Linked DNA regions of Diceros bicornis minor. The protein of the gene in region 1 binds, or shares a complex with, the protein of each later gene. Links are inferred from orthologs where the notes say so. Each region holds a gene or a part of one and is shown in the gene's direction. Other genes may lie near its edges.

Region 1 (15,477 bases):
CAGAAAGCAGTTTAGTGGTTGCCAGGGGATGGAGGAAGAGGAGGAATTGGGACTGATTGCTCATAGGTATGGGGTTTGTTTTTCGGGTGATAGTAATGTTCTGGAATTAGATAGTGGTGATAGTTGCACAACATAGTGCATATACTAAAAACCACTGACTGGCACACTTTAAAATGGTGAATTTTATGTTATGTGAATTATATCTCAAAATAAATAAATAAAAAGAGGCTTGAGATTAAAAAAAAAAAGAAACTGAGGTGAACAAGGGCTTTAGGTTAAGAATTTAATAGAGGGCCGGCCCGGTGGCTTAGCGGTTAAGTGCGCGCGCTCCGCTCCTGGCGGCCCGGGTTCAGATCCTGGGCGCACACCGACTCACTGTTTGTCCGGCCATGCTGAGGCCGCATCCCACATACAGCAACTAGAAGGACGGGCAACTATCTACTGGGGCTTTGGGGGAGGAAAAAGGAGGAGGATTGGCAATAGATGTTAGCTCAGAGCCAGTCTTCCTCAGCAAAAAGAGGAGGATTAGCATGGATGTTAACTCAGGGCTGGTCTTCCTCACAAAAATAAAAAATAAAAAAATAAACCATTAAAAAAAAAAAGGAATTTAAGAGAGTCCATTTTCAAATGGTAATCTCTTTGTGTAATCTCGAGCGAGCAGCCATGAAAAGATCTAGGAGACCTCTTTCTTATTCCTGGCAGGCCTGAAGGACCTCCGTGGATGGTGTGTATGTTGTAGAGGAAGAGAGGAAGAGGGAGAATGAAGGAGAAAGATCAAACATTGCTCTGTGTTTTGTGACTGACTGGCTCCTCTAAGGATCAGAGATGTTTTACATATTATGAATGGCTGTTAAGAAATTAAAATGTAAAATGATACTATTTACAATAGCATCAAAAACATCAAATACCTAGGAATAAATCTAGCAAAAGATGTATAAGACCTATATAGAAAACTACCAACATTGAGAGAAATTAAATTAAAAAAAGGACATACCTTGTTCATTGTTTGAAAGATTTAATATTGTAAAGATGTCAAATTTCCCCAAATTGATCTATAAATTCAATTCTTTTAGAAATGAACAAGTTGATTCTAAAATGTATATGAAAATGCAAAAGGCCAAGAGTAGCCAAGAAATCTAGACAGAGGAAGGACAAAGCTGAAGGCTTTACATTACTAGATATCAAGATGTATCCTAAAGCTATGATAATTTAGACAGTGTGGCCTTGCTTCAAGAAGAGACTAATAGAGCAATGGAACAGAACAGAGTTCAGATCTTACTGAATCCACACATAATGGTGACACTGAAGAGCTGGGGGAGGAAAGCTGGGTTTTTAATAAATGGCACTGGGTCTATGTGATATACTTACGGAAAAAAAAAAAGAATCTTGACTCCTATCTTATACTATATGGTAGGGAAATCTTTGTGTTTCAATGGAAAACTGCACTGTCTGTAGCATACCCTCTGGGTTGTCTGATTTTGATGTTGTGGCAGCTATTTTACAACTCTGTAACTTGTAGATAGCTGATAGCAATGCAAAATTCATGACAATAAATTCACCCTCCCGCCTACTGTGGAAAAACCAGTTTTGCCTCAATTTGCATATTCATTTCAATTTTCCTGATCTGTAAATGTGTCTGTTCTTCAGATTCACCTTCGAACAAGTCAAAACACCTTGCTAATTTTCCTTCTTAATGAGTTAAACAACATTTTAACATGTGTTCATTTTTATATCTGTATGAGTCATGATTTTATCTTTTTTTTGAAAATTATCTTTTAACAATACACAAAAATTAATTCCAGGTGGATTGCTAATCTAAATGTGAAAGTAAAGCCATAGAGCTTCTAGATTATAAAGGGGAATATATTCATGACTTTGGGGCAGTAAAGATTTCTTGAACAGGACACAAAAACACTAACTATAAAAGAAAAGATTGATAACTCAGATTTCATTAAAAGAATTTCTTTTTACCCCAAAACACCACTAAGAGTGAAAACGCAAGCCACAGAGTAGAAGATATTTGCATTACATTTTTTTGACAAAGGTATAAAATATATATATATTTTATTATATATCCTTATATATAATAAAATATATTGTCTATATAAATATATTTAAATATTTATATTATATATAATATATTATATATTATACATAAATATTATACATATATATATATCCTACAAACCAATAAGACAGACAACTGAAAAAACTGGACAAAAGAAATGAGTAGGCACATCACAAAAGACCATATCCAAATGGCCAATAAGTCAGCACACAACCCCATTAATCATCAGGGAAACACAAATTAAACCCACTGTACATCCACCAGAAGGGCAAATATGGAAGACTGACAATACCAAGCTTGACAAAGATGTGGAGAAACTGGATCTCTCAAACATTGCTGGTGGGAGTATAAATTGGTACAACTACTTTGGAAAATCGTTTGGCAATATCTCTCATGCTAAACATATATCCACCCTATGATCAGCAATTCCATTCTTAGGTGTGTGTGTATGTTTATGTATAGGTACCAAAAGATATGCAAGAGTGTATAGCAAACTTATTCCTAATAGCCGTGTATTAGTTTCCTGTGACTGCCATAACAAATTTCCACAAACTTGGCAGATCAATAATTTATCCTTTCACTGTCAGTTCTGGAGCCCAGAAGTCTGAAATTACAGTATCAGCAGGGCTGCACTGCCTCCAGAGGCTCTAGGGGAGGTTCTGTTCCTTCCTCTTCCCTGCTTCTGGTGGCTGTGGGCATTCCTTGACTTGTGGATACATCACTCCAGTGTCTGCCTCCTTCTCATGGCCTTCTCTCCTTCTGTCTGTGTAAACTCCCTCTGCCTCATTCTTTTAAGCACACTTGTCATTGGAGCTAGGGCCTTCTTGGATAATCCAGGATGATCTCCTCATCTCAAGATCCTTAACTTAATTACATCTGCAAAGACTCTTTTTTTCTAAACAAAATAACATTCACAGGTGCCAGGGATTAGGATGGCACATATCTTTTGGAGGGCGATCATTCAGCCCACTACCAGCCCCAAACTAGAAACAACCTAAATGTCTATCAACTGTAGAATGAAAAATAAACTGTGGTATAATCATACCATGGAATACTATAAAACAATAAAGATGAACAAACTATTGCTCCATGAACACCAATGGTGAATCTCATAAACACAATACTGTGAAAGGAGCCAGACCCAAAATAAATATGTAATGTATGATTCATTTATATAACGTTCAAAAATAGCAAGACCCATCTATGGGGATAGAAGTTAGGAGAGTGGTTACCTTTGGAAAGGAGGGGGGCTTGGTGACTGGGAGGAACTCAGGGGAGATTTCCTGCAGAAGCTGATACTCTTCTATTTCTTGATCTGGGTGGTGAAAATTCACCAAGCTGAACACTTTTGTGCACTTTTCTGTGTATAATGTTTTCCTTTTCATTTTCTTTCCTTCGTTATAGCTGTGCTGTAATGCTATAATAAAGTTTGTTTAAAAAAATCTGTTCCTATGTTATACATTTTTCTTCCATTTTCTGATTAGATTTCAATACATATGTTTATTAAAAATTATGAATGATTACAACAATATTTGATTTATCATTATAGATTTAGGTGGTATCATCTCTCAGGAATGTTTATTTTGGGACACGTGTACGTATTTTTAGTCCAACAAGTTTTGAAGAAAACTTGAATTGGAGGACCCAATCGTGCCACGGAACAGGCTGTTTTGTAATTTGTTTCCCTATCTGTTTATAAGACTTTAGTGTCATTGACTTTCCTTGCTGAAGGTGTTCCCCAAACTTGGAGTGTGCGTGGTTGGGGTGGTGGGGGCAAATGTTATCCCAGCGTGAATGATTTAGACTTAGGAAAGGTGTTGTGCATCCTAGGACCGGTAAGGGATAGGATTTCCCAAAGATGGGCAGAGATTCATAAGAGGGACTATAGGCGCAGGTAAGAAGAAGGCATGTAAGGAGAGAACCTGGTTAGAACCTGGTGTTGCCCCCTGGAGGGGACCCCTAAGTAAAGACTTTTATTCTGATGCTCCCCCTTGGACTTTGTAAAATGTCAAGTGCTGGGCTCGGCTTTAAGCTTCCAGGCCTCCATTATAATTCCCTAGGGTATCAAACGTCAGTGCACCCCATCAGCCCTGTGCCACGTGTTGTGGCATCAAAATGGAAGAGGAGTAAAGAGTAGGTGGGGCTGCTCACACCCACCTCTTGGCCAGCTCTGCTGCGGTGGGGTCTGTGTCCAGGGGTCCCAGCAAATGAGAAAGCGGAGGCTCATGGCTTACATGGGAGAGGCCAGGAAGAGAACCAGACCCTTCCAATGGGACAATTCAAGGAGGAATAAACATTCAAAACTTCTGCTTTCCCCCTGTATGCCTTGAAACTGATTCTGGAAAGGTGGAGTATGGCTTGCATCTATGATGAACATGTATTTCTTTTGTAATCATAAAAAATAAAACCTTACATTTCAAAAAGATCGTTATACAGGGTAGTGCTAAAGTGGCAGTAGCAGGGATTGAATGGACTAATGCTGAAGGGTTAAAAGTCATTTATGTCTCCTCTACTTAACTTGGACTGCCTTCTATTGGAATTGGGAGAGCTAGAAATGGCAATGCAAACGTGAGGACATTTCCTGCCTTTGAGATGCTTACAGGGATTAAAACAAGGGCTGAATCAGAGTACAAGAAATAAGTTGGGAAACAAGAAGCAATTCTGAATGGGAGAGGTGGAAGGGAAGGCTTTGGGCAGAAAGTGGGAAGGTAAGGGGCACACATTCTCTACTGCCTTTTAGTCGTAGGACTCAGGGGCCTTCTCTGAAGGGACGTGACAAAAGGGAAAGATAATACCTTTGCGTTATCTATGATGCAAGCCATTGGGGCCATGGAAAGAGAGCCTGATGTCAGGGATTGCTCCCCGGGCTCCCTGACCCCACAAAGCAGGAAACCCTTACTCCCAGAGCCCACGCCTAGAAGGTAGTCTCAGTCAACCGAGTGTGCAGGAGGCTGAGGCAGCTGGACCTGGAGAAGCCAGAGGGCTGTTTACCAAGAGCCTCAGTGAATGAGTCATGTGTGTGGACATTTGTCACCACACCCCTAGAGTCTGAGGCAAAGGAGAAAGACAAGCGGCCATGACCAGCCCCTTTCTGCTCCTCCCTTGGGATAGCACATTAGCCCATCCAGAGTCCCCTGATGATTTTTGAGTTAGTGTTCCGGCAGTAGGGGGATACTGAGGAGCCCTGGGTGGGAGTGACTGGCAGTTAGCAGGGCAGTGAAAGTCTCTCCTTCCGCATGGCCTGCCTCCCGGCCCCCAGCACAGCTCTACACTATGTCTTATGGAGGCGCAGTCTTCCCACCTGCGCCGAAGAGCAAATCTGTGCTCGGCATCTAACTGCACAGCCGGGAGCTGCCTGCGGAGAGGCCCAGGGCCGGCGGCCGTGGCTGGGGGTCCGGCGCTCTCTGCTCTGCTGCTCTGGGAGGAGTTCAGGCAGCTAACCTGTCCAGTCTAACCTGCCGGGTGCCTTGCCCACGTGCTAGGGCCCACTGAAACTCTTTTCCTCTTTCAGGCCGAGCTAGAGGCGGGGCAGGGTGAGAGGAAAGAGAGTCATCAGCCACACCCTGGCTGTGGGGGGTGTTTACAAACACTCCTGGAATTCAGTGAACCAGAATTCAGTGAAACTGAGAAGGGTCTGCCACCCCAGGCCCACCCAGGACCCAGCCTGTGGGAGAGGAGGTAGAGTCCTCCCAGGGCAGGTGGGGGACAGGGCCAGCTGATCTCACTCTTGTCGTTAGGCCTGTGCACCCCACAGCCCAGACTGTGGGTCTATAACATGGGGAGAAGACAGGCTCTTACTCCTGGGAGGTCAGTGAGTGAGTCTAGAGGGACAGATGATGTGCTCTGGCAGGAGGAGGGGAGAAGACAAGCACCGAGGAGCCTGGAGGGCAGGAAGCCAGCCCTGAAGCTGGCCCTGTGCTGGAGTTCCTGGCATCTCTCTCCCCCCTGGGATGGATTTCTACCTCCTGCCTCTCGTGAGCCCCACCCCTCTGAGTTAACCCCTGCTAGTGGCCAGTGTCTAGAGAGAGGATCTTGATTTCTCCAGGTGGTGAGGCAGCCTTGCCCTCCCCGAACCTACCACCTTGGCTTTTTTTTTTTTTTTTTAATTTTATTTATTTATTTATTTTTTTGTGAGGAAGATCGGCCCTGACCTAACATCTGCCAATCTACCTCTTTTTGCTGAGGAAGACTGGCCCTGGGCTAACATCCATGCCCATCTTCCTCCACTTTATATGGGACGCTGCCACAGCATGGCCTGACAAGCGGTTCGTCGGTGCGCACCTGGGATCCGAACCGGTGAACCCCGGGCCGCTGCAGCGGAGTGCTCGCACTTAACCACTTGCGCCACCAGGCCAGCCCCCACCCACCACCTTGGCTTTAACCATAGAGCCTATTTGTGTCTGACAGAAACCCAAACACACGAGGTCACAAGGTGCTTATAATTTTTCCTCCCTCTCCCCTTTGTCCTCTAATTCTTTCCATGAGTGGAAGGGATGCTTCGTGTCACACTCAGCTTGTGAGGCTGTCCAGCCAGGTTTCATTCCTTGCTCTCTTTACTGCGGGGAGGTAGGGAGACCAGAGCTGAAAAATTTTACTCCCAGTTTTGCTCCCAAATCTTTGACTTTGTCCAGCTGGGATGCAGTGGAGCAGTGGACAGGTAGGACAAGCAAGAAGGAAGTATATGCTTTCCTGGAGGCAGTACCAACCTAGAATAGACACCAAGGATGGGTAAGGGGGGCTGGAATGGGGCGGGAGGCAGGCGTCCCCAGGTGAAAATGAAGGAAGGTAGCTGGCTCTGGCCTGCCGCGCTGTTGACTGCTGGGCTACTTCTGCTCATACCTGCCTTGCAGCCTGAAGCACGGTCTCATCACAGCACTGCTCAAAATCCTCTGCAGGCTGGCTCACCTGGTCTAACACTGTGGTGTTCATGATATGCATGATCTGGACCCACCTACCATGGCGGTCTTATCTCTACCACCCACCCCCAGCGCCCTCCTAAAATATCCCACAGTCCAGCCCCAGTGGGGGTGCTCATAACCCCTGTACACGTCAGGGGTACTCTCTGGCCCCCATGCCTTTGCTTCATCTGTTCTGCTCGCCGCTCCTGAAATACTCTTCCCCCATGGCCCCTTCTCTGCCCACCAAATCTGGTATATCCATTGGGGCCCAGCTCAATGCCACTTCCTTCACAAAAATCCACCTGCTTAGAGAAATTTCTCTGTCCTCAAAACACCCAAAGCATTTTATTAATACAGGACTTCCTCTATAGCATCTGTCATGGTGCGCCTTGGAACTGGGTCCCCTTTGGAGGACTTTGTCCCCTCCGTAGCACCTAGCAGATGCCGGGCACAGAGTAAAGTTCTCAATAAACCTGTACGGTAACGAATGGAGCCATGAGGTCAACAGATCATCAAGAAGGGGAAATGGCATCAAAACAAGAGTTCTGTTAGGCTCTCCTGCCACCTCATGTTTGGTGCCTCCTTTCCTTTTCCCTTCCGATTACCGTTAAATATTTACAACATACTAAATAGGCCTTTCTCACACTGTAGCCACCCTCAGTTGCAAACCTGAGGCATAATGTCTGTCATCTAATTTCCTACATGGTAAAAGGACACACGAAGTACTCATGGTTGGCTGGAATAACCTGCAAACTCTTCAATTCCATAGCACTTCCCGAGCACCTACTGTGTACCCAGGTGTCTCTAGGGGCTGTGGAGGAGACAAGTTAAATAAGTCGCTACCTGGCCCCTGCCCTGAAGGGGGCTATGAGAAGCCAGACCTTGGAGAAACCAGAGTGAAGCTGTGCAGTGGGTAGGACCTGGGTAGGCAGAGAGGTTGGCAGGGCAGCCATGGGACAGCCCAGTGAGTAAAGGCCTGGAGGTGGGAAGATTATCTGGGCTACAGTTTGTTCGGGAGATAGAGGAGAATGAGTCAGAGTGGGGCCAAAATAGGAATGCCTTGAAATCTCTGCTAAGTCTGAAGTTAATGCAAATGGTGGTGAGGCAACATTGTAGGATTTCGAGCAGGTTAGTGCAGCAATGTGCAGTGTGGACCGGAGGGAGGAGAGCCTAGAGATCAGGGGGCAACCAGCAGCAATCCAAGATTGGGGTTGAGGATCTGGAAGAAGCGAGGGATGCAGCAAAAACACTGGAGGCTCCAGACACCTGGGTTCTAGTCCTGGCTCTATTGTGGGAGCTTAAACGAGTCACTTCTCTGCTCTGGGCCTTTTCTTAACACTAAAACCCATAAGCTTGCAGAGTGACCTTTCCAGTGTGATGATCCACAGTCGACCCTATAGCGGGAATGAAGGGAATCCGCCAATCTAATGGATATTTGGAACAAGGAAGTGACTGACTGGGAGCCCAGAGATAAACAGCAGGGAGAGACTGAAGAGGGTCCCGGCCAGGGAGAAATGGGGAACTGAGGCAGGGGGCCCTCTGCTCCTGACATCTGGTTTGGCAATCCCATTTCAGTTCCTCCTTTCTTCTCCTTCCCTCATGTAGCCTCTTAGCCTCACCTTATTTGGTGAGGGCAGGGCAAAACAGGACACTCCCACACCACCTCCTGCCCACCCTCCACTTCACCTTCCCCTTTCGAGCCCTGAAACGATACTCCTCCTTCCCCACCACCTGGCACCATCCCAGAACCCACCTTCCTCCAGTAACGCACTCGGCGGGCCCAAGTAGAAAGCGCGGTGAATTTGGGATCACGTTCATCATCACCATCATACCCACCGTTTACTGAGGACTCACCACGTGCCAGGCTACATTATGTTTTCACAGCAATTCTATGAAGTGACTGTTATCTCGTTTCACAGATGAAGAAACTGGGACGAAAGCTGTGAAGTAATCGTGCTAGGTCACACACCTGCCAGCCGGCGGTGCCAGACTGGCGTGAGGTCTGACTGCCCAGCCAGGGCTCGGGCAGTTCCAGTGCGGCGGGGCGGCCTTTGGCCGTTGGGGACCCCATCCCTCTCCTAGCGCCTCTCAGACCAGAATTCCCCAAGCCCCCGCCCCTGCCCTCGCCGCGCCAGCCCCGCCCCCGGTGCCCGGTGCCCCGCACGGCCTGCGCTCGGAGGCGGGGCCGGCGCGGGCAGGGGGCGGGCGGCGCGCCGGGCCGGGGGAGGCGGGCCCGGCGGGGGCGTGGCCGGAAGCCTTAAAGCGGCCGGGGCGGCGGGGCGGGCTGTAGAGGCCGCGGACCGGCGATCCTCTCCTCACGTCGAACGGACTGCGGCACCGTCACCATGTCCCTGGCGGCCTCGGCGGGCCGGGGCCCGGGGGCCGTGTGGTCCCCAACGCACGTGCAGGTGACAGTGCTGCAGGCGCGGGGCCTGCGGGCCAAGGGCCCCGGGGGCACGAGCGACGCGTACGCGGTGATCCAGGTGGGCAAGGAGAAGTACGCCACCTCGGTGTCGGAGCGCAGCCTGGGCGCGCCGGTGTGGCGGGAGGAGGCCACCTTCGAGCTGCCGCCGCTGCTATCGACCGGGGCCGCGCCGGCGGCCGCCGCCACCCTGCAGCTCACCGTGCTGCACCGCGCGCTGCTTGGCCTCGACAAGTTCCTGGGCCGCGCCGAGGTGGACCTGCGGGAGCTGCACCGGGACCAGAGCCGCCGGAAGACGCAGTGAGTGCGGGCCGGGGGAGAGGACGGGGAGCGGAGGCGCGGGCCCCTCGGGCATGGGGCATGGCGGGGAGAACGTGTGGTCGGGGCGCCGAGATCCTGTTGGAGTGAGCGCGGCGGTCACCGCGCTGCTGGGTCCCCAGGGGGCGGACCGAGAGAGGCCTTTCGAGAGGGATCCCCTGGACTAGTAATAACGTAGCTTTAACTTCTTCGGCTGCCATACCCCAGCTGTCCCAGTATGTGGGCTCTTTGAAAGGAGGACGGGGTTGGGAGAGTGTATATCTGGGGCATTTTTGAATCTGCTGGGCGTTGCTCAGCGCGTGGAACCTAGTAAGCCCTTAATGAATTTTTGATGAGTTGAAAATATATGTGGGCTGGCAAACACCTCTTATTAGTGTGAGTAGTGTGTCTGATGCACGCCTTAACTTATGCGGAAAGCCTCCTGGGTATTTCACTGACCTGGACGCTGAGCTGAGAATGACCGGGCCAGGGCGCAGGGAGGATTAACTGGAGGAGTGAGACCCACTGAAGCTCCCTGGCCCGAGAGGCTCACCCAGGGACAGAGCGGGGGCGTTACAGTGCGGGGTGGGTGGAGGTGGGGGGCTGGGGAATGAGGAATGCAGGCTGCCCGGTGATGGCTCTCCCTCACCCCCACCTCACAACTGCAGAAGGGGTTGGTGAAGAGAATTTGCCCCTCCCTCCCCGCTCTCTTCCCCAAAGAATGGTAGAACAGTTTGGTTTTAACTTTCAAACTGAAGAATGTTAACCCTGTTTGCCCTGGGCCCCAGGTTAGTAAGGATTTCCCAGTGATGGCTGGAGCAAGGGTCTGAGACCCAACTGGGAAGCAGGCATTGTTTCTCATTGGAGTTTGTCAAGTTCTCTCGGGTCCTACTCCCAGTGGATGGCTGCTCACCTGTAGCTCCCCAGTCAAGAGTTCTGTGTTCGAGTTTCTCACTCCTGCAGGGAGAGCTGGGCAAAACCCAATTCACTCCACAGTGTTATGGATTTATTTCTTCTCTTTCACAGGTGCTTGGAATGGAACATTTGATTATGCTAATCTAGTATACCAGAAGCTCGCCTCGCTTAGCTTAGTTGGTTACTTTGCTGGATCTTAAATATGCAGGCAGTCACGTTACCGCCTAACTGCCCCAGTTTAAGGAGCACACTGATTTACTTTGTGTGTTTTAAACAGTATGTTAACTTTCCCTGGTGAAGGAAACGGGAAAAGCCAGAGCGTTTGAAGTTACCAGACTCCCTTTTCTGTCCAATGGCTCCAATTTCGGCATGCCTGCTTGCAAATGTAATACCTGATTCGCTTATCTGGCCGAAGATGAATAGGCATTTCTGAGCTCAAATCAGATAAAACTAGAGAGCCTCGAGGTGAGGATGGATGGGGTATCTCATGGCATCAATTTACAAGCCATAAGGTGAGCAGTGTCTTTGCTAAGCAGGGGCTGAAGCACTGCTAATTTTCCATTTGATGAAACGACATTTGGGGCCTTGAGTTGGCTTCCTTTCCAACCTCAAATGAGCACCGTTGACCGTCCTTTATCTTGCCCCATCCCAAGATGTGTGGATATTAACTTCTGACTCTGCCATCCATTTCTTATGTGAACACCTCATTCCCTTGAAAGACAGATCGCATCTCCCTGCTGGGGACGGGGATTTCAGATTCCTAGCTTTGATGCCCACTTTGGTCCTGACTCATTGTTGGGCTTCTGGCTGTTCCGTCTCTAAACACCCAAGTTTCCCTATTTATAAAGGGAGCTTGTTGCCAGACTTAATTGATCTTTGTAAGATGTTTCTGGATTTGTGAATTAATGGGACCCATGTATAGATTCAGAAGGTTCTGTTATTGCTTTGTGAGGAATGGAAACCTCCCTAAGCTCCCTATGTCAGGAAGAGTTCAGTCTCTGCATCTTCATTTTTCTCATCCTCCCCAATGTACTCCTAAACCCAGGTGGTTATTCCTGTCTCTGTTACATGAGCTGATTACCACTTAGTCACAGTATCAACTTGTAGGAAAATGGCACTTAATTGATGGTTTTTTAATAACCGCAAAGGAAGACTTCTTTGCTCCTCTATCGGTAGGTGAAATTGCAAGTTTCCTGGGACTTTCCGAGGTGCTGGGGAACCCAGTTAAACTGAGCCCTGGTTTCAGGGCTGATGCCCTGGTACATCACTTGGGTGCCCAAGATAGCTGACAGTTGGAAAGTGAGACATACTGAGAGGCAAAAGTTTAACAGAAAGAAACTGGTTGGGCTAGGAAAATCATTTGACCTAGTTATTAATGGATTGACTCCACCTTAGACATTAAAACCAGAAACAAAACAAAAGCTCAAATCTTGGTCTATAGGTTTGTGTGTGTGGGTATGGGGGTGTGTGTGTGTGCACGTGCATGTGTGTTAATCTCTAGGAAAGAAGAGTTGCTGCTATACACTATAGCTTTTGTCATGGTTCTAGAAGCTGAAACTCAAGGCATTAAGAGCCAGCTGAATTAATATTTCCATTTGTTCTCTTGATGTATTTGGAGTCAAGAGAATATGCTTTTTGTAATGACTCAGATTTTGCAGACGTCAAATTTAGTGTGATAATACACATCTTTAAGATACCAAAGAGGCTGACATATAGATAGGATACATTTAATAGGGAAGACTGCATGGCCCTTTTAGTTAAGAAAAAATTGAAATGAATTGATTTTGCACTTCTACTTAGCTATGAAAGACCTGGGGTCTCAGTTGGGCCTCAGTTAACTGGGAATCAGTTACATCTTGTGATCATAGAACAGACATGAATCTGAGAGCAGGATGAGGTCACCAACATGTAGGAGTCTCTGTACAGCTCTCTGGTCTGATGTAGTTTGGGATCCTAAATTGATTTAAAAAAAAAAGACACCTTTTTAGGTACTAAGAGCAATAAAATTTGGAGAAACAGTCTCTTAAGGATAGATTAAAATGAATATTCATTCAGGCTGGTGACTGGAAGGCCATTGTGTAACTAAATATCATGAAACTTAATACTGGAATAGTCTTCCAGATATGAAGAGAGAACATGAGTGATGGAGAGGCATTTTCTTATCTCTCTTGAAGAGTCAAGAGGGAATTCAGTTGCACCTGAAAGGATTTGGATATTAATAAAGGTTAGATATTTGGAAGAACTGTAAGTGTAGTAAGATTCTGTCATAAATTGCCAAGGGAAATTCGGGTTATTAAAAAGAAATAAGGGCTAGATAGTTGTTTTTCTAGGAGAGCTAGATGCAGAGAAATGACTTAGATGATGGTTGAGATCTATAATTCACACATTATGAGCCGTCAGCATTTGTGCTTATACCTGTACGTTTCCTAACCACATTTAGATTATTTGTAACAGATTGGAAAATTCGAACAATGTTGTTACTGCTTCAGTTTTTCCTTTCTTGGGATTCCCCTTAGAGATAACATTGAGCCTTCCTGGAACCCTCCCACCTCCCACCTTTCACAGTCCCTTCCCGCTCCAGGGTAGGAAACTGAGCTCAGTGCCCAGGACTGAGTTTCTCTGTCGGCTCTGGGATAAATAACCCTAACCTGCTTACAACAATGGAATGAAATGACTAAGGGGGGAATGTACCTTAAAGGCATTGTTCCGATGGTGTGAAAGATGTTCCTTCATGTTTTTTTCATGGTATGCTTTGATTGTGATGTCATTTGTAAGACATTCAGTTAGCATGGGGAGAGTTCTACCTGCTTTCCCCTGTCTTGAAAGTTCATCTATACTTTTAGTAAATATTTTTTAATGCCTACTGTGTGCCAGGTACTGGGTGTACAGTGTAAACAAGGGTGACCAAAACAGCCAGGGTCCCTGCTTTCAGGACGCTCAGAGTCTGTGGGGGAGAGAGACATTAAACAAACGAACACATAAATAAATAATCATATATTGTGATAAGTAGTGTGGAGGAAGAGAACAGGGTGTCATAAGAGAAAAAAGCAGGAAGGACATGATTTAAAGAAGGAGATTGCGCATCGCCTCTCTGAGGCAGAGACCTGAAGAATAAAGAGGAGTTTTTCTGGTGAAGAGTAGAGGAAGGGGGCCTGATGGAGGGGGAGCAGCCTGTGCAAGGGCCCTGAGACAGGAACACCTGGGAAGCTGGAGAGATTGTGTAGATTGAGGCTGAAGAGGAAGTCAGAGCTTTATTTAAGAGCAATGGGAAACCACTAAGGGTTAATAGCAGAGGGGTGGTGTGATCCAGTTTGTCAAAAATCACTGTGGCCATTGGGTTGAGAATGGATTTGAAGCAGGCCTGGCCTGGAATCAGACAGACAAAATGGGAGGCTGTTGGAGTAATCTAGGTGACTAATGGTGGTGGCTGGGCTAGGGTGACTGCACGGAGATGGACAGAGGTGGGTGGATTTCACAAATATTTTGAAGTTTCAATTGGCCTGGCTGGTGATGGATTGGATGTGGGTGGGGACACATGAGAGGAAGTGTTAAGAATGAGCAAATAAAATAAGGAGAGCTGGCTGTTGAAAATGAATCAGGAAGTGGTGGCTGCTTTCTTTCCCCAACAGTCACTGTGATACCAGAGTGAGGTCACCATTACAAAGAACTCTGGGCGGTGACACCCCTGAGCTGAGTCTTCTGTTGGAGTGATTTAGTAGGGAACACCATTGAAACCAGGGTGCGTATATGTACATCTTCAAGTATTTACCGTTTTCATACAGGCCAAGTCTTTGTTTTGGAAGAGCATAGCTGATGAAATCTCACTGGTGTGCTCTAACACGGCTGATGAAGTCACTGCTTCAAGGAATATAGGACTAAGAAAAGGAAAAATAATATATAATGTTGGGAAAAATAAACCCATAAATGAAAAATAAAACTCTTGAGGCAAGTAAGTCAACCACTTAAGTGTTTTTCACATTAGAGAAGATAAGTCTATGAAAGAGTCTTGTACCTTTTTCGTTTTGCTTAAACTTCCTTTTGGTTACAAAGACTTCATTGTATTTCTATAACTACCATCAGAGGAGGGTCTTTATATATAGTATCTGATATGTCATTTTAATGGTAATTATTAACTTAAAAATGTAAAAGCTTAAAATTGTTAAAAGCTTAAAATTGTTAATTTTAAGCACATTAAAAGCAATACATGTGCTTATTAAAATGTCGTCAGCTCCAACATATATTTGCTGACATCACTCTTCTCCCCTTTAACAATAATCTTAGATATCTATTAAAATACTACGATTTTAGTTGCTATACGTCCTAGAAAACTGTGCTTCACACCCTCTACTTTTGGAGGGACGCTGGCTCTGGCTTAGCTCCAGAAGGATTGAGAAGCCCTAGCCCAGATAGAGAGAGTGAGAAGAGGTCATTTTAGGCCTTATCTTCATCTCAGAGCCGTTCCCTGGGTGACCTTTGGTTCTGGGTCTGGCCCAGATCTCTAAACCGTGGGGCCTTTGAATTCCAGCAAAATCAACACCTAGACCCTTGTATTGGACTTTGAAGAAGCCCTTTGAAGAAAATCAGTCTGCTGCCAAGATCACTTGTCTTGGAAAAAACTTGGCAAGTGGGTTCTGCTCCCTGAAGGGTGTCTTGGGTCAGAGCTCATGCCCCAGCTGGCTCAGGAGACCAAGCCTGAGTTTCACCTGCTTTCTCCTTGGCCAGGGACCACATCAGTCTGGTCCTGGCTGTGTGACCCAGCGCAGGGGCTCATAAACGTCTCTGAGTGAGTGAGTAGGCACGGGGCGGGCGGTCGTTTGCCTGTGTGGACGTGGAGAACTGTTGAGTCTTACATTTAGCCAATAGATTAAAGACTAGGG
Region 2 (16,110 bases), on another chromosome or scaffold:
CTCCTCACAACACTATGACAACTTCCCATTCTATAGATGAGAACACTGAGGCTGGGAAAAGTTGCATGACCTAGATTATAAGAACTAACATCTATTCATTGCCTGCTGGGTGCCAGGCACTGAGCTGAGCACTTTATGTATGAGCTCATTGAATCCCCATAACACCTTTTGAGGTAGGTACTGTTTTATCCCCAATTATCTCCCTGCTACCCCACTGAGGTGAGGAAACGGAGACACAAGATGTCAAGTAACTTGCTCAAGTTAGTCACCGCTGAAGCTGGATGATGAACGTAAGAAGTCTGTGTTTTTGTCTGGATCCAAAGTCCTTGCTCTATAAAGGCACAAGCTTGTCGGTAAAGGGCTCTTTTTCTTTTCATTCATTCATTCATTAATGAATGCTCCTATGTTTTATGCATTTTTGAAGGATGTAGCGGAGAGAGCACAGGCTCAAGTGCTCAGAGACTTGGCTCTGGTCTAGCCTGAGCCTCGATGTCCCTATCTGTGAAATGTAGGGACTGTACCAGCCAGTCTTGAAGGCCCCTTCTTGCACCAAGAGTCAATTCTGTGATTCCCCAGCTTTGGGAAGATTCCCCAGCCTTGGGAAGAAGTTACCAATTATAAATAGAATAGCTCAGAATGCTAACTCATTTGCCAATGTTTCAGCAAATGACAGAGCCAGGATTTTTATCCAAGTCCACCTGACTCCAGAAGTTTCTCCACTTCCTCCTGGGTCTGGAAAAAGAAAGGAACTGAGAAAAGAGACTGAAGAAATACTGCTGCTGAACCAGATCTGCAGGAGCAACACAAATGCGACCAATGACCAAGAGCCAGGAGTTCTGGCTGAGCTGGCCCACCGTGGGCCTGTTACGCCCTCTTGTGGAGCATGTCTGAAATGCTTTGCTCTGCCAACTTTTTCATTTCCATGCCAGAACAGAAGCGGGGATTGGGGGAAGCAGGAAGTGGTTTTTCCAATAGTTTTTGAAAGCCAGTGACCCCAGCTATTGTTCTAAAACAGAGACTGCTTGAAGACATCGGTCACTTAGTGAAGCCCAGCTTCCCTGTGTTCATTTATTGATGAAATAAGTTATTTTTGTTTCTGTTTTTACATCTTGTACATACTTGTACAGGGTATAAAGCAGTGAACCCAACAGAAATGGCACCTTTCCTCCTTAGCTTGGGTGGGGGAGGTCAGACATTAAACCTGTAAACCCAGAATAAATACATAGGCAGGAAAGAATTCTTTCTCCTTCACACTCCCTTTTCTCCTTAGCTTTCTCCCCAGTATCTGGAGGGGAAAAGAATCGTTGGCAAGATCAAAGAATGAGAGAGACTTTTAAGCATACTTCATAATTCATTAAAATTACGTCTGTCTGCTTTCAAAAGTTTCATACGTTTCATGGATACTGTGCTCTGAGGATTCTAAAATAACTAAATCCTCATCTGCACTGAGGCACCACAAGGAAGGGGATGGCTCCTCCCACCAGCGAACCCAGGAGCAAAGCCCAGCTCAATCTTGAAGGCTGCAGGGAACTCCTCCAGGAGGCAGCTGACACTCTGGCAGAGAGAGAAGAGGTGTGGAAATGAGGGGATGGTGGCACGGTGGAGAGGAATTTTACATACATTTCTAACCTTCACAAGAATCCAATAAACTAGGGGCCACCATACCTATCTTACAGATGAGGAAACTGAGGCCCAGAGAGATTAAGAAGCTTGCCCAAGTCTCAGAGCTAAGAGGCTGTGGAATTGGAATCTAAGTCTTGGAAAAGCAATAGATTAGGAATCCAAAGTCTGGTTTCTAGTTCCAGTTCTGAAAACACTTGCTGAGTAACTGTTGGACAAGTCAATTAACACCTTGGATCTGTTTTCTCTTCTGCATAACGGGGGCTTAGTTAAAAAGGCCTCCAATGACCCTTCCTTGTCTGCCAACGTGAGGGCCAGAGCAGAAAAACAGGACGGGGGCCCTGAGGGGCTCCAGTGAACAGGAGGAGAGAGGAGCCCAAGTCCAAGGGCAGTCATTAGTCACTGAGGAGTGAATCACTGATGAGCAAATGCCCTGTTAACTGTGACGTATAATCCCCGGGCAGCCTCTCCTGAGGGGATCTTACAGCTTTCTCAGCAATAAAACACAGAATATCAGAGACCTCAGATTCCCTTATCCAGCTGATTCTAAAGTTTTTAAACAGAAGTCCCATCCATAACACCCTTCACAAAATTAATTGCTATGTGGTTTTTTGTGGGGAGGGCCAGGGAGCTTCAGATAGGTGGGACCTACCCTCTCTCAACCCTCTCCCAAAGTATGTGTGTTTGGGGTGCACAGCGGGTATAAGAAAGGGAAGGCCTAGCCCAGTTTGCCCTGGACCTCATTCCATCCAGTCTTTCAAACCAGCTAAGCCTGCAGGGGCCTGTTTCCTATTTTTCCCTTTTCTCTCTCTCTCCCCAGTTATTTTTATTATTCTGCAGAAACTCTTCTGACCTCTGGTGAATTCCATGATAGCAGATAAAGGTTTTTCTCCTTTCCCAATTTACATGGAGAAACTGCTTCAGGAGCTATTGATTGGCTCTCAGAAATAATAATCGCAGCTACTGTTTCTGAAGGCTTATTCACTACCAGGCACTGTGCTACGACCTTTTCATGCTTTACCCCATTTTCTCTTCACAACCACCCTAGGAATTAGATATTACTATTTCCTCATTTTAGAGATAAGGAAATGAGGAGCTAGAGACCTTATAGAACTTATCCAAAACCACACAGCTACTAAGAGGCAAGGCCAGGACACGAATCTAATTATGGTGTTGGGTAATTTCTGTCTTGTCAGTTTGCGACCTTCTTTTATTTGTAGGCTTTGTTATAACTGCTTGCTCTGCTATTTTAAGCTTCACTCTTTCCCCTCCATGGATGGTAGAGGGGAACCCCTTTTCCCTAGTCCTGGTTTCAGTGGGGAAGGGTTTTTTTTCTAAGCACATTCCTGGTACCTCTTCCTTGTTTATCCATTCCTGGGTAGATGAGGGACTGATCTGTTTGGTCAATTTGAGAAACCTAGTCATGCTCAACTCAGCATTGTCCTTCTTCTTACCGGGAGGGAGCTGCCAGGGGGCCTGCCTAGTCTTTGCAGGCCAGTTCTGGGGTTCACTATTAGTGGTGCCCTTCAGCCACCAGCTCTGAAAGCTTCTTCTCCAACCTGGCTTATATCGTAATAAAGGTGATCTTTTTGTTTTATTCCTCAACTTGTTCAGAACTCAGGCAAGGCAAATAGGATGCTATTTACTTAGAGTCCCCCAGAGAGCCCAAAATGGGCCTTCTGAGGGAATTACACTGGTGGGAAATCTTCATGCTCTACTGCTGGTTCCAATCCTCACCTTGGTGACTTCAGAGTGTAAGTCTAGCTTCTCTAGGCCTTTGAGCTCTAATGCCTGCCCCCTCTTAAGAAAAGAAGGGTGGTGTGGAAGAAATGGCTAGTTGTTTCTTGATATCTGTTCTTTTCTTCCTCTAGTAATAATAATCCTACCCAGAATAAAGACGAAATTTCCCAGTCTCCCTTGCAGCTAGGTGTGGTCACATCAATGGGATGTGAGCAGAGGTGATGAGCACAACTTATGATCATACATTAAAGGGAAGGCACTTGCTATCCATTTCTCTTTCTCCCTTCTGCTGGCTGGAATGGGACATGATGGTGGCAGCTGGAGTAGGAATTTTGAACCATGAGATGGAAGCTATGTTTTTTGGGTGGCAGTGTAACAACCAAGGAAGAGCTTAAAAATTGCCACCTTCAAGCTACCATATCAGCCCTTGACTACTTATCTAGATTTCTATGTGAAAGAGAAGTAAACTTGTAACTTGTGAAAGCCTTTGTCATTTTTGGGTTCCTTAGTTATAGCATCTGAACCCATGTATTGTAACTAACACAAGTAGGGACCCAGGAAGTTGCCTCCCAATTTGGGGGAGGGGTGTAGGGCTCTGGCAGAGGCTTAACTGTGCACCTGACTCACATGTATGAGGGAATCAGTGAATGAGGGAAGGATAGAAAGATTGGGCATTTGTTGAATGCTTACAATATTCCATGTGCCAGCCCTGATGGCCTAGTGGTTAAAGTTCAGTGCTCACTGCTTCGGTGGTCCGCGTTCACTTCCCAGTCAGAGAACCACACCACCTGTCTGTCAGCTGCCATACTGCAGTGGTGGCTCATATAGAAGAACTAGAATGACTTACAACTAGGATATACAACCACGTACTGGGGCTTTGGGGAGGAAAAAAAAAAAAAGAGGAAGATTGGCAACAAATGTTAGCTCAGGGCGAATCTTTCCCTGCAAAAGAAAAAAAGAAAAAAGAATATTCCAGATATTGTGCCTGATACTTTCAGTTATACTTTCTCAGTTGATCTAAACAATAATTCTATGGGGGTAGATCTCTTATTATGTAGCTGAGGCTCAGAGAAGTTAAGTAACTTGACTAAGGTCACAGAGCTAATAAAAAGTTTGCTAGAAATGGAGCTAAGTCAATGTGACTCTCAAAGCCATATTCTTTCCTCTATAGCATACCATTCACTCATTATCCCCTTCCACCAAATACAATATGATATAACACAACAAAATCTTGCCCGTGTTGGGAGACAACCCTCCATGGGTCTCTTGTGTTTCTGCACATCTTGTGAGCAGATGCACTGACTGTCGTTTGCCCCAGATTATCTTTTCACGGATGTCTGTAGAGCAAACAGCCTTCAAAGAGAGAGGTAGTGTTTCCCTTCACAGCAAAGGACAGAAATGCTTACTTCCCACTATAAAAGGTTTGGTTTCTCTCAGCTCAGAGTTCCCTTCCTGTAACACAGTGTGTAAAGACATCCAGGAACTGATATAAATATGCTGATGCTCACGCTGCACACAGTGCTGTGAATAATAAAGTCCTTTGTCTCTGACCCAGAAGTCTCATGTCTTCTGTCTGTGTCCATGAAATTGTATTAGGCTAAGTTGTTAGCTTGCAAACAGGGCGAAATCTCAGTTCTTGACAGTCCCTGCCATATTGGTGTCATAGTGAGAGTCACCATTGTTTTACTGCATGCGTCACATCACACAGGCTTTTAACTTAAATTATTCCAATTAAATGTACAAGGTCAAACAAAGCAATAAAGAAAATTTAAATACTACTCTGCCGTCCCTTTTTAAAAACAAGTGCAGGCCTTGGAGTAAGCATGTGCTGAAAGAGTTGAATCTGCTATTTTCTTAGTAGATCTCAGTTTTCACGTGGATCACATGGTGTGGTCATTTTGCCACAATCAGTGTGATTCTAAAGCTCAAAGATGCATATTTTTTCTTGTATCATGGCTTCTAAATCTAAACCACCCACTTCTTCTGGTGGTCAGCCAAAGAGATAGCTATCACATCCAACGCCAGAGGAAAACTAAGAGACTATAAATCAGACTCCAGTGTGGAGATTTCCTGAGAAATCTTCAAGTACACTTTTCACCTTAGGTGATTTTGTTGTTGTTGTTATGGGTCAACTTCAGAAGTCATGCCCTCGTATGGTGTAACCCCAGAGGATTATATTTTGGGGCATTGGTATAAGGTGTATGGATCTGTTGGAGGGGGGACTATTTTATGGACACAAAACTTCTTTTACAATTGAATATAGCATGTACTAATACTTACATTTTGCATCATTTTCTCCTTTCATATCATAAATTTGCATCTAATACTTTTTCATATCCAGAGACTAAAGAGTCTCATGCACTTGATTTTGACTTCTTGCTAAATTTTGAAGTATATCAAAAGCTATTTCTTTTTTGGTTAAACTAGTATTTTTTAACTATTTGCTTGTTTTTACTCAATTGAATTATATATCACTGGAGGTTAATCAGCGACACTTAAAAATATATTAGTTTTTTAAATTAGGTAGCACATGCACATGGTAATAAAATTCAGAGTATAAATTGTACTGGTTCTGCTGTATCTTCAATATTACCTCAGGAATTGGGACACCAATATTTTAATATCTAGTGCTGGATTGGTGGCAACTCCAAAAGCACTACACAAAAAGGGGTGAGTGTAGAGAGAGAGAAAGAAAAATAATCCACAGTCCAAGATAAGCCTACGAACCAAAATTCTAAAACATATGAGGAAAATCAACAAAATTAAGCTGACAAAACCAATAAAGATGAATTAATCTGATTTAAATAAACACAATAGAGAGATCTGAAAGTGACTCTAAATGTTTAGGCTCTGGAAAAAGACAAAGAACAGAATAATATCTATTTTTACAAAAGCAATTATAAAAATAGAAACAGGTAGAAATGAAACAAGAACAGATGCATAAGACAAAGAATCAGCACCTGGAGCGACCCCATGCACCTCCCCTGGGAATGGGTGACCTCTCATTCATTTGCTGCATCTTCCAGCTGACTGCCAGTTTGTGTCATTCATGCCACACCCCGATGATGAACATCTCTTTGCTGTACTCCAATCTACGACTGGGAAGTCAAGGTGTGTGTGGGTGTGGTGGGGGCAGGTGCAATCCCTCTCCGTCTAGAGCCCTCCACCATGCCACCCAAAGCCCCCTGCAATGTGGTCTCTCTCCATTTGTATTTTCCTTTGCTTAGGATGCAACGGGGCAAAGCAGATCAGTAAGTCTGCTCCCCAAACAGGTATTGGGGGCGTTACTAGTCTCCTCTTCCTGCAGGCACACCCAATCTTCACCAGTCATTCTCTTGGAGGCCTCCTCTCTTGCCTCTAGGAGGGGATACAGCCCCCCAAGGAGGGAAGGGAAGGGATGGGTCTCTTTCCAGAACACTGCATTTTCCTAAAGGCTGACTTACCCCCCATCTCTCCATTCTTTCTTTCCACTGATTAGTGGTGATGGTTTGCGGATGAGGAGAGGGGTGGGAATGAGGAATGGGTGGGGAGTAGGCTGCTGGAAGGGCTGGTAGAAGAACAATAATGGCTCTTCAAATACTCTGCTAGAAGAAAGCTGATTCCAACCACTGGTTCTTTTAGTGTAGAATGTGGGCTCCTTATGGACTTTTTTCTTCAGATTTGGGCCTCATCAGCAGTTTCAGGACAACAGGAAAAATCCCTCTCAATGTCCAGTTACATGAGCATATAAGTCTATTTCCCCCTCCATTTATAGTTGAACAAATGTTGGCACGCTGTTTAGTTTTCTGATTCCTGTTTTTTTCACTTGAGGTATTTCTTAGAGTTTGTTCCATATCAGGACATGTGCCTCATTCTTTTTTTTTTTTTTTTTTGTGAGGAGGACCAGCCCTGAGCTAACATCCAATGCCAATCCTCCTCTTTTTTGCTGAGGAAGACTGGCCCTGGGCTAACATCCATGCCCATCTTCCTCCACTTTATATGGGACGCCGCCACAGCATGGCCTGACAAGCGGTGCGTCGGTGCGCACCCGGGATCCGAACCGGCGAACCCTGGGCCGCCGCAGCGGAACGTGCGCACTTAACCGCTTGCGCCACCGGGCCGGCCCCAGCGCCTCATTCTTTTTAATTGCTGCATATATTCTACAATATGGATGTACTAAAATTTATTATAATAGCCCTCTAGTGACAGTTTGTCTCCAGTCTTTTGCTATTACAAACAGTGCTGCAACGAATATTTTGTGTATATATCTCTTTTTATATAAACAGCTTCTTAAGAATTTACCTAGAAACCCTGACACGTGTTTGGCATCCAAAAGACAGTCCTTCTTTATTATGCTGCAACTGGTCACACAGTCTCTCCTAATTTTGAAAATTCTGTGACTTATTACAACAAGTGACAATTTCTACTGCCTTTAATTGCATTGCTTAGCATGTGACAAGCACACTGCACTCACAATGTTTTCCTTCAATGCTGCAGCAAAGTGTAATGTCTTTTTTTGTGTGAGGAGGACTAGCCCTGAGCTAACATCCGATGCCAATCCTCCCCTTTTTTCTTGAGGAAGACTGGCCCTGGGCTAACATCCATGCCCATCCTCCTCTACTTTATGTGGGATGCCGCCACAGCATAGTTTAGCAAAGCGGTGTGTCTGTACGCGCCCAGGGTCCAAACCTGCGAACCATGGGCCACCGCAGCAGAGGGTGGGCACTTAACCGCTGCGCCACTGGGCCTGACCCCAAAACTGTAATGTCTTTGACATAGACTTAAGTAACAATTACAGATCTACATCTAAGCTGCTACAAGTGCAAATAAGGGAGGAAGTATAGAGCAGTGCTTTGGAATGGGAGTTCTGAAATCATACGTGCTTGAGTTCAAGTCCCAGTACCTCCAATTTTTACCTATATGACTTTAGACCTGTACAACATAGCTTTCTCATTCACAAAATGGGGTGAATATAGTACCCAATACAGAATGGGGATGTTGTAGGGATTAAACAAGAAAATATGCACAATTCTTGGGACAGTTCCTGGCACATAACAAGTGTTCAATAAGCATTAGCTATACATGAAGATTTCAATTCAGGTAACAACTAGATATACAGAAACTTTCTAGTCAGGCCTAAGTTCATAGCTGGATAAGTAATGGTAATTGGTTCACAGCTTTCTTCTTTATTTGGCACAAGCTAATTTATTGACTTTAGAGATGTTAAATTGTGACCACAAACCAACTTTATCTATCAGAATTAAAGAATATAGGAATAGAAGCATATACCTATTGGTTATATATATAATCTAAATATTATTTATATATATATATATAAAACCTACATATACATATCCACAAGGAGTTTTATACATATATACATCCACTAGCACAAGGCAAAAGCACCCAGAGCCCACGAAAGTTACAACACTGCCTTGTACCAAGATGTGCTAAACTTTCTGGTAAGGTGATTATAGCAGATCAAGTTGTAAGACCGGAGGTAGTGGACAAACTGTGAAAAAGGTGGTTACAATTTCTCTTCTCTCATCAAAGGCACCCCAAAGGGAGGTTAAAAGAGACAGAGGTGAAACACAGGGCATTAATTGCCACTTCCTAGCTACACGATCTTGGACAAGTGACTTGATCAATCTGAGCCTCAGTTTCGCCATCGATAAAATGGGGACACGTACACCCTGGGGCTATTGGACAGGGACCCACTGTGCCTTGCTCACCGCTATGCACGGAGCGCTCAATAAATACATATTGAATGAACGCAGTAAATGTGTGCTTAGCACAGTGGCCGGTGTATGCTAAGCGTCCAGTAAGTGGTAGTTGCTGGCATTAAAAATAGTGAAAAGTCCCCAGAGCGACAAACCTATTCCTGTAAAACCCAGACGCACCTCAGCACGTTCTACGCGATCTTGCGTAGTAACACCCCCCAGGGGGCGGAGACAAGCGACTGCGCTTGCGCATAAGCGCTTTCCCCGCCTCTTCAGGCGCGAGGGCCGGTGGGGCGGGCCTAGACGGCGGCGCGACGAGTCCAGAAGGGAGGGCGGAGGAAGGGGCGTGGCTAGCAGGCCGGGCCCCGGACACCCTCTTCCGGGCTCCGCCAGCTGCGCGCGCATCCTCCTCCCCCTTCTTTTGTGGTCCGGCCCATTGCGAGGGTGACAGGAAACCCTGTGCAGGGAGCGCCGCCATCTTGGACCTGCCCGGGAAAGATCCTGAGGGAGCTGCCGGAGCAGGCGCCGCCGCCACCGCTACTGCCTCCGGCGCGTCTGCACCTCCTCGGCCAGCCCGCTCCTTGCCGGGGCCTCGGCCGACCGCCCGTGTCCCTCTCCCGCTGCGCCCGCACTCCTCTTCCTCGTCCTGACGCCCCCCTCCCGCCCGGAAAGCTGCCCAGCCACCAGCACCCCCCCAGGTAACCCGGGCCTCCCGCAGTGTCCGTCCGGCCGAGGCCTCCGCGCCCGGCTCTCCCGGTGCCGCGGCGGGGGACGCCAGGGGGCAGGCCCTGTCAGGCGGCGGCGAGCGCGGGGTCGGCGGTGGGCGCCGCGGCTTCGGGCCTGACAGGACTCCGTGCTGCGGTGAGGGGTCCCCGCGCGGCGCCCGCCGCCCGCGCCTGCGGTGCTCCCGCCCCCGGAGGGCTTCGCGGCGTGCGGGAAGGGTGTGTGCGGCCTCGCCTGCCCGCCTCCCGGCCGGCCTGGGCGGATCGCGCCGCCCGCGGGCCCCGTCTCCTCGCCGCCGTTCCCGGCGGCCGCGGACCACCCCCGCGTATTTACCCCGCGGGCCGCGCCGCCCGCAGCCCCCAGACCCCGGCGCGGCCTCCCCCGTCCCCTAGGCCGCGTCCGGCCCCGAGTACAAAAGGCAGCACCCCGCAGCCCCGCCGGCATCTTGGGGCAGCTCCGGTGTCCTTGTCAATGTGCTAGACCGTCTCTGGGCTCGGGCCCGGGCAGGGTCGGGGGCTCGGTGCTCGCCGGGTGCTGGTTTGGGTGAGTCCCTCTAAGGCCCTGAGCCCGGACAGCCTCTAGAAATAACGAAGACGACAAAAAGTTTTGGCCTTTCTGGAATTTAAGAAAAGAAGGAACAGGCGTGTTTCGCTGGTTTGCACTTTACTGTGTGCCAGGTACGGCTTGAGTGTCTTTACACGGGTGTGTCTTGCTTCACGTAGCCCCTGGTGATAAGGAGAGGTATCTCCCTTTTACAAGTGAGGAAACTGAGGCTCGAAGGTGTGGTGTGGCTGGTTGACGATGGAACATACGGACTGGCCTCGCGCTGCACGGTGGCTGGTGTTTTCTCTCCTACATTCAAGTTAGGCTAGGGTTACAGACCCTTTGAAACGTAGCTACGGTGTAATTCCTTTTTTCCTGTGTTTGCGTTGGATGACATCTGATTCTCCTTTATAACCTGAAGTCTGTGGTGTCAGCCACTGCACTGCCAGCCCTCATCCTCACAACCCCAGAGGAGAGATGGCAAGGTTTCCACTTCATAGTTAAAGAAGAAACTGGGATTCCCAGAGAGCCGGTGCTTTCCTGGTGGTCCCACAGCAAGTGTCAGAGCCCAGATTTGAACTCGTGCAGAGGTTACCGCTCCTTTCATTATTAATTATCACACTGCCTTTTATTGAGGATAAACCTGACCTTGCAATAATCCAGCTCCCGCTTCCTGTTCCCCCAAGACTTTGCAGAATTTTTCTTCAGAGTTCTGCTTAGGCCCTTTCACTTGGTCGTGCCTTGAGGCATGTAGTGGTTAAGAGTTTTGGAGGGTTCCCAGTCCAGTACTGCCACTTCCTAGTTAAGTGACCTTAAGCAAGTTACTTAGCTCTCAGACTCAGTGTCCCTATTTATACAGGGGAAAGTTGTACGCACATTTTAGAGTTGTGAGGATTAAACGGGATTAAAAACCTTTAGCACATTGCTTGGCATATAGTAAGTGCCCCATTGCCTGTTAACAGTGCCAGGCATATAGTGGGTGTTTAATGTTTGTTGAGTGAATGAGAGGAGCATGGCTTTGGAGAGCTGTCGAGTTAGAGCTGGGCCTTAAGCTTAGCTTTCTCTTTAGTAATGTAAGACCCTGGATATACCACCTCTTTGAGCTGGTTTCCTTATCTGTAAAATGAGTTTTTAGGATTAAAGATTGCTTATAAAGTAGCTGGGATATATTAGGCACTCAATAAATGGCAGTTATTGTAAAGATGTAAAACCTATAGATTCTGATAACCTAAGAAATTCCTTGGAATTAAAGCTACATTTTTAAAAGTTTTTGCTTTTTATATTTCATGTTTATATTTGTTGGATACTTGAACTATACAACAGAATTTGGAGTGTTCTTACAACTGATTTTTATCAGTATTAAATATCTTTATGTAATCTTAGTAAGATATTGTATTATTAGATGAAACTTGGTTAAGGCAAATAAAATGTTAAAACTAGAACTATTGACGTGTTTCATTTTTTAAAAAAGCTTGAAACATTTTTATGTGGTTAAAAGTGGCAGGCATGGCTGGAGACAGCAATGTACAGATAGAGGTATCAAAGATACTATATTTTACTTTTTAAAAACTTCTTATTCTAGACAATTTTAAACATATACAAAATAGAGTTGTATATTGAGCCTTCATTTACCCATTAGCCAGTGTCAACAGTGATCAGTTTTGTTTCCTCTATATACACCTGTATTTCTCCACCAAATTATTTTGAAGCAAATCTCAGACATCATATCATATCATCAGTAAATTTTTCACTATTACTAATCCTTTTAACTTTAGTGGTAAGTGAGGGTTTTGTTTTGTTTTTTTCTCCTGAGTAGTTTCTTACTGTGAGTAGAGGTGCAGTATTGGAGTACTTTATTCTCTATTGATACCATCATAATTAGCTGGAAAATTTTGTCTTTCTCTTAACGCATTAAGGAATCTAATTTTTTTTCATATTCACATTAATTGATATAAAAGTGTGACATTAAATATCTTGTCAGAAGTGAGGTGTGTTTTTTTTTGAGTGAGTGTCAGAAATGGGTTAGTTATTTTCAGAGGTTGCATTGCTGTTGAGGAAAGGAAATTGATCAGTCATTCAGATTAGATTATTAGATTAGCTACTGAAGTTTTGTGTTTACTTGACTGACAAATCAAGTGGTATTTTACTTTAGTGGGCCTGTAAACAAATCAAAATGCTTCTGTTCTTGAGTTCCATGAAGGTGGGGACAATGTTGGGCTTTTTTTTTTCTTTAATGGCTATTATATTCTCGAAGTCTAGAACATGGCTTTGTGCTTAGTAGTAGATGCTCAACAAATATTTTTATATTGGAATCACAAAAGGAGTCTATCTTCCCTCTGGTGTTCTTAACAAAATGTCTTGCATTTGAAAAAAAAGAAAACTTACTAATTTTAACAATGAGGATCAGAATTTAAATCACCTGGAATATTTAGTGGGTTGCTTTTTTCCTGTGTTGTCTTGAATCAGTTATGTAAAAATTACACAGTAACATCATATGTTCTAAGGAATAGAATAAAATAGCTATATAACAGTTGTGAAAGGATTAGTCAGACTTAGTGCGTTAACACAGTAAGGAGCCAAACGCTAAAAAAAACTGGAAAAAATAGCCTCGATTATTAGGATGTTTTCTGAGGCCAATCATATGATTGACTTCATATGATCTTCCCCATATTATTGGTAAATGTGGAAGTAATATTATGAATGGGAGTTTTTTTGCCTTTATTCTTTAATTTATTTTGTATTAGAATTATATATAAAAGTGCTTTTAAAATATTTAACAGTCCTTTATATTCTCTACTTTGAATATTTTAGAATATTACCAATGAATATAGTACGTGCTCAGACTGTCAGTGTAGGGATATATAAAGAAAGTTAATAATTTCCCCCTTCCTTTTTTCTACTCTCAGCCCATGTATTCATTTTTCACAATTTGTTGTGTATCCTTCCATATTATATGCATATAGGATTGAGTGTATGTGTATTTAAAAATGGAACATGCTATTGCATAAAACTCTGCAACATGCTTTTTTTCATTTAACAAAATCATTGATATATTTCCAAGTTAATACGTATGTATCTAAATGGTTTTTAAGCAAGATGCTTATTATTTTATAGTATGGATGTACTTTATTCAGTCATTTCCCTGTTGATGGCAGTGTAGTTTCCAGTTTTTTGCTCTAAAGATGCTGTAGTAAATGCTCTTCCACCTGTAACCCAATGGACTGAAGCTTTTGTTTCTGTAGGCTACTTCTAAGTGGGTTTCTTGGCCAAGGGGAGATTTGGATTATTTTTAAGATTTTAAAATATACCAATTTCTTCCCAAAAATGTCGTGGCAATTCAGACTCCCACAAGCAGAATATATGGACGTGCCTCCTTTCACATCTGTATCTGCACATTTCAAAACTAGTCATTTATATGTCTGTATATTTTATTTTGAAAGGTGTGTGATTCGGTATACGGAGACCATGGGATTCTTTTTTGGCACAACAATGATTAGTGGTTAATATGCGTTTAGTAACCATTTAGATCTGTAAGTATTGGCCTGGAAATAGATCCTTGATTTTGTTAAGTGGAAAAAAAGCATGTTGCAGTCGAAATATAATGATGTACACCTGAAATTTATATAATGTAAAGTGCAACCTCAATAAAATAAAATAAAGCATGTTGCAGAGTTTTATGCAATAGCATACCCCATTTTAAATATATTTCTACCTTAACAGTGGTAAGTTTCATGTTCAAGAGATGAGGTTGAGAAATCGTTTGTTAAAGCACTATTAAGCATAGTTAATATTTAAAAGGGGCCACTCAACAATTATTAGTGTTTAATATGCATTTAGTAAACATCTCTCTTGACAGCCAGGAAGTTTAGAGCTAAATTTTACATGCACTGATAGTAAACTATTACCCTAAATTTTTAGTGTAATTATCCTCCATCTTTCTCTGATTTTTTCTTTCACTTTTATCATTCTACATATATATGCCTTTATAAGCTACCTTAGAGAAAATCATGTACTTTGGAATCAGGTCTGGGTTCAAGTTCCAGCTTTGCCATCTACTAACTTTTTAACACTGGCCAAATTAGTGAATTTCTCTAAACCTCAATTTCTTAATTTTTTTAATTTTTATTTATTTATTTTTTTCTCCCCAAAGCCCCAGTAGATAGTTGTATGTCATAGTTGCACAGCCTTCTACTTGCTGTATGTGGGACGCGGCCTCAGCATGGCCGGAGAAGTGGTGCGTCGGTGCGTGCCAGGGATCCGAACCTGGGCGGCCAGCAGCGGAGCACGCGCACTTAACCGCTAAGCCACGGGGCCGGCCCTAAACCTCAATTTCTTCAGTTTTGACATGGACATAATGATAGTGATTCTGCAGAGTTGTAAGAATTAAGTAAGAATTATATAAGACAATATAGGGAAAAGTAGTACAGATCATCACATGGTTTACTCTCAACAAGTGTTAGTTCCCTTCCGAAACTTTTTTGTAAGTAGATATAAATGAATTATTATTGATAGTATTATTATTTATCCATATCTACAAATCCTGATCACAATGTATCCTCTGAATGTAATTATTTAATACTGCTTGTTCAGAATATTAAAGTAGAATCAAGTGAGTGAACTGAGAAAGATTTGTGTCCCAAAGTGCCACTGTAGGCTTTCATAGTGTATCTCATAACTGGAGGAAGCAAGATGGTGTAGTAGTTAAGAGGAGATTCTTGGCAGTCAGAACAGTCCTAGGTTCACTATAGACTTGACCACTTAACCTGTGTGACCTGGGCATGTTACTGATCTGTTGAGTCTTTCCTCATCTGTAAAAGGAGGATAATAGTCACTATTTTATAAGGGTACTACTAAGAATTAAATTAGATTGCATGTGAGATGTTGAGCATATTGCCTGGCATATATTAAGTGCCCAATAAATGATAACTATGACAATTGTGTTTGTTATTAGTTTACAAGTTGTTCATCATGTATTTGGTGATGACTGTTGTCTGAATGTAATACATACTCTTTTCTGAAAGAAATCAGAGGCATTAAAGGAGATCTTATCTACATGTGAACTTTATTCAGATGCTTTTAGTAAAACATGGAAGAAAGTACATTTTAATCATGCCAGTAGCTGTGCACAGGTTTCAGAATATTATCAAGGTTTTTAATTAGTGGAGATTGTAGTGTTGAGTGGACTTATGTTTTCTTTGAACTAGACCAACATTTCTTGCTAACCGCCCGCCTTTTTTTGACTTTTCAGTTCTCGAAGTAAAGCAAAAAGCACCTGTAAGTAATAGAGAAAAAACTTTTTTCCACTTCCAAAAGCTAGTTAAGAATACATTCCTCACCTTAACAGTGCTATGTTTCATGTTGAAGAAATGAGGTTGAGAAATTCTTTGTTAAAGCAATGTTAAGCATAGTTAATATTTAAAAGGGGCCGCTTGAATATAGCTCTCCTGGAAATACATAATTTTGAGTGAATGTTATCAGTAAACTATGGGAGTACAGTTAAACCTATCTAGTATCTTACCTTAGAATAAGAAAGGGAGGACCTGAGCCCGGCTTGGTGGTGAAGCAGTTAAGTGCGCTTGCGCTCTGCTTCGGAGGCCCGGGGTTCGCAGGTTTGGATCCTGGCATGCAGTGACGCACCACCTCTCAAGCCATGCTGTGGCCGCGTCCCATATAAAGTAGAGGAAGATGGGCACGGATGTTAGCCCAGGGCCAGTCTTCCTCAGCAAAAAGAGGAGGATTGGCATCCAATGTTAGCTCAGGGCTGATCTTCCTCACCAAAAAAAAA

The links.
Region 2: the proteins of RAB11FIP1 (region 1) and RAB14 are in contact, whole or in part, in a crystal structure (PDB 4D0G), measured with the Homo sapiens proteins. The link is inferred for Diceros bicornis minor from reciprocal best matches to the Homo sapiens genes RAB11FIP1 and RAB14. Residues at the interface, in NP_001002814.2 of Homo sapiens: Glu1252, Ile1255, Asp1256, Asn1257, Leu1259, Val1260, Met1263, Pro1267, Asn1268, Leu1270, Arg1271, Ile1272; in NP_057406.2 of Homo sapiens: Leu28, His29, Ile44, Gly45, Val46, Glu47, Phe48, Gly49, Trp65, Arg72, Arg74, Ala75, Val76, Ser79, Tyr80.

Annotation. Positions count from the first base shown.
Region 1 is NC_080768.1:34,614,664-34,630,140, reverse strand, and holds the start of RAB11FIP1 (rab11 family-interacting protein 1), read left to right. Parts: upstream 1-9,272; 5' UTR 9,273-9,311; coding exon 9,312-9,688; intron 9,689-15,477. UniProt on the Homo sapiens protein: A Rab11 effector protein involved in the endosomal recycling process. Also involved in controlling membrane trafficking along the phagocytic pathway and in phagocytosis. Interaction with RAB14 may function in the process of neurite formation.
Region 2 is NC_080767.1:28,362,642-28,378,751, reverse strand, and holds the start of RAB14 (ras-related protein Rab-14), read left to right. Parts: upstream 1-9,525; 5' UTR 9,526-9,757; intron 9,758-16,110.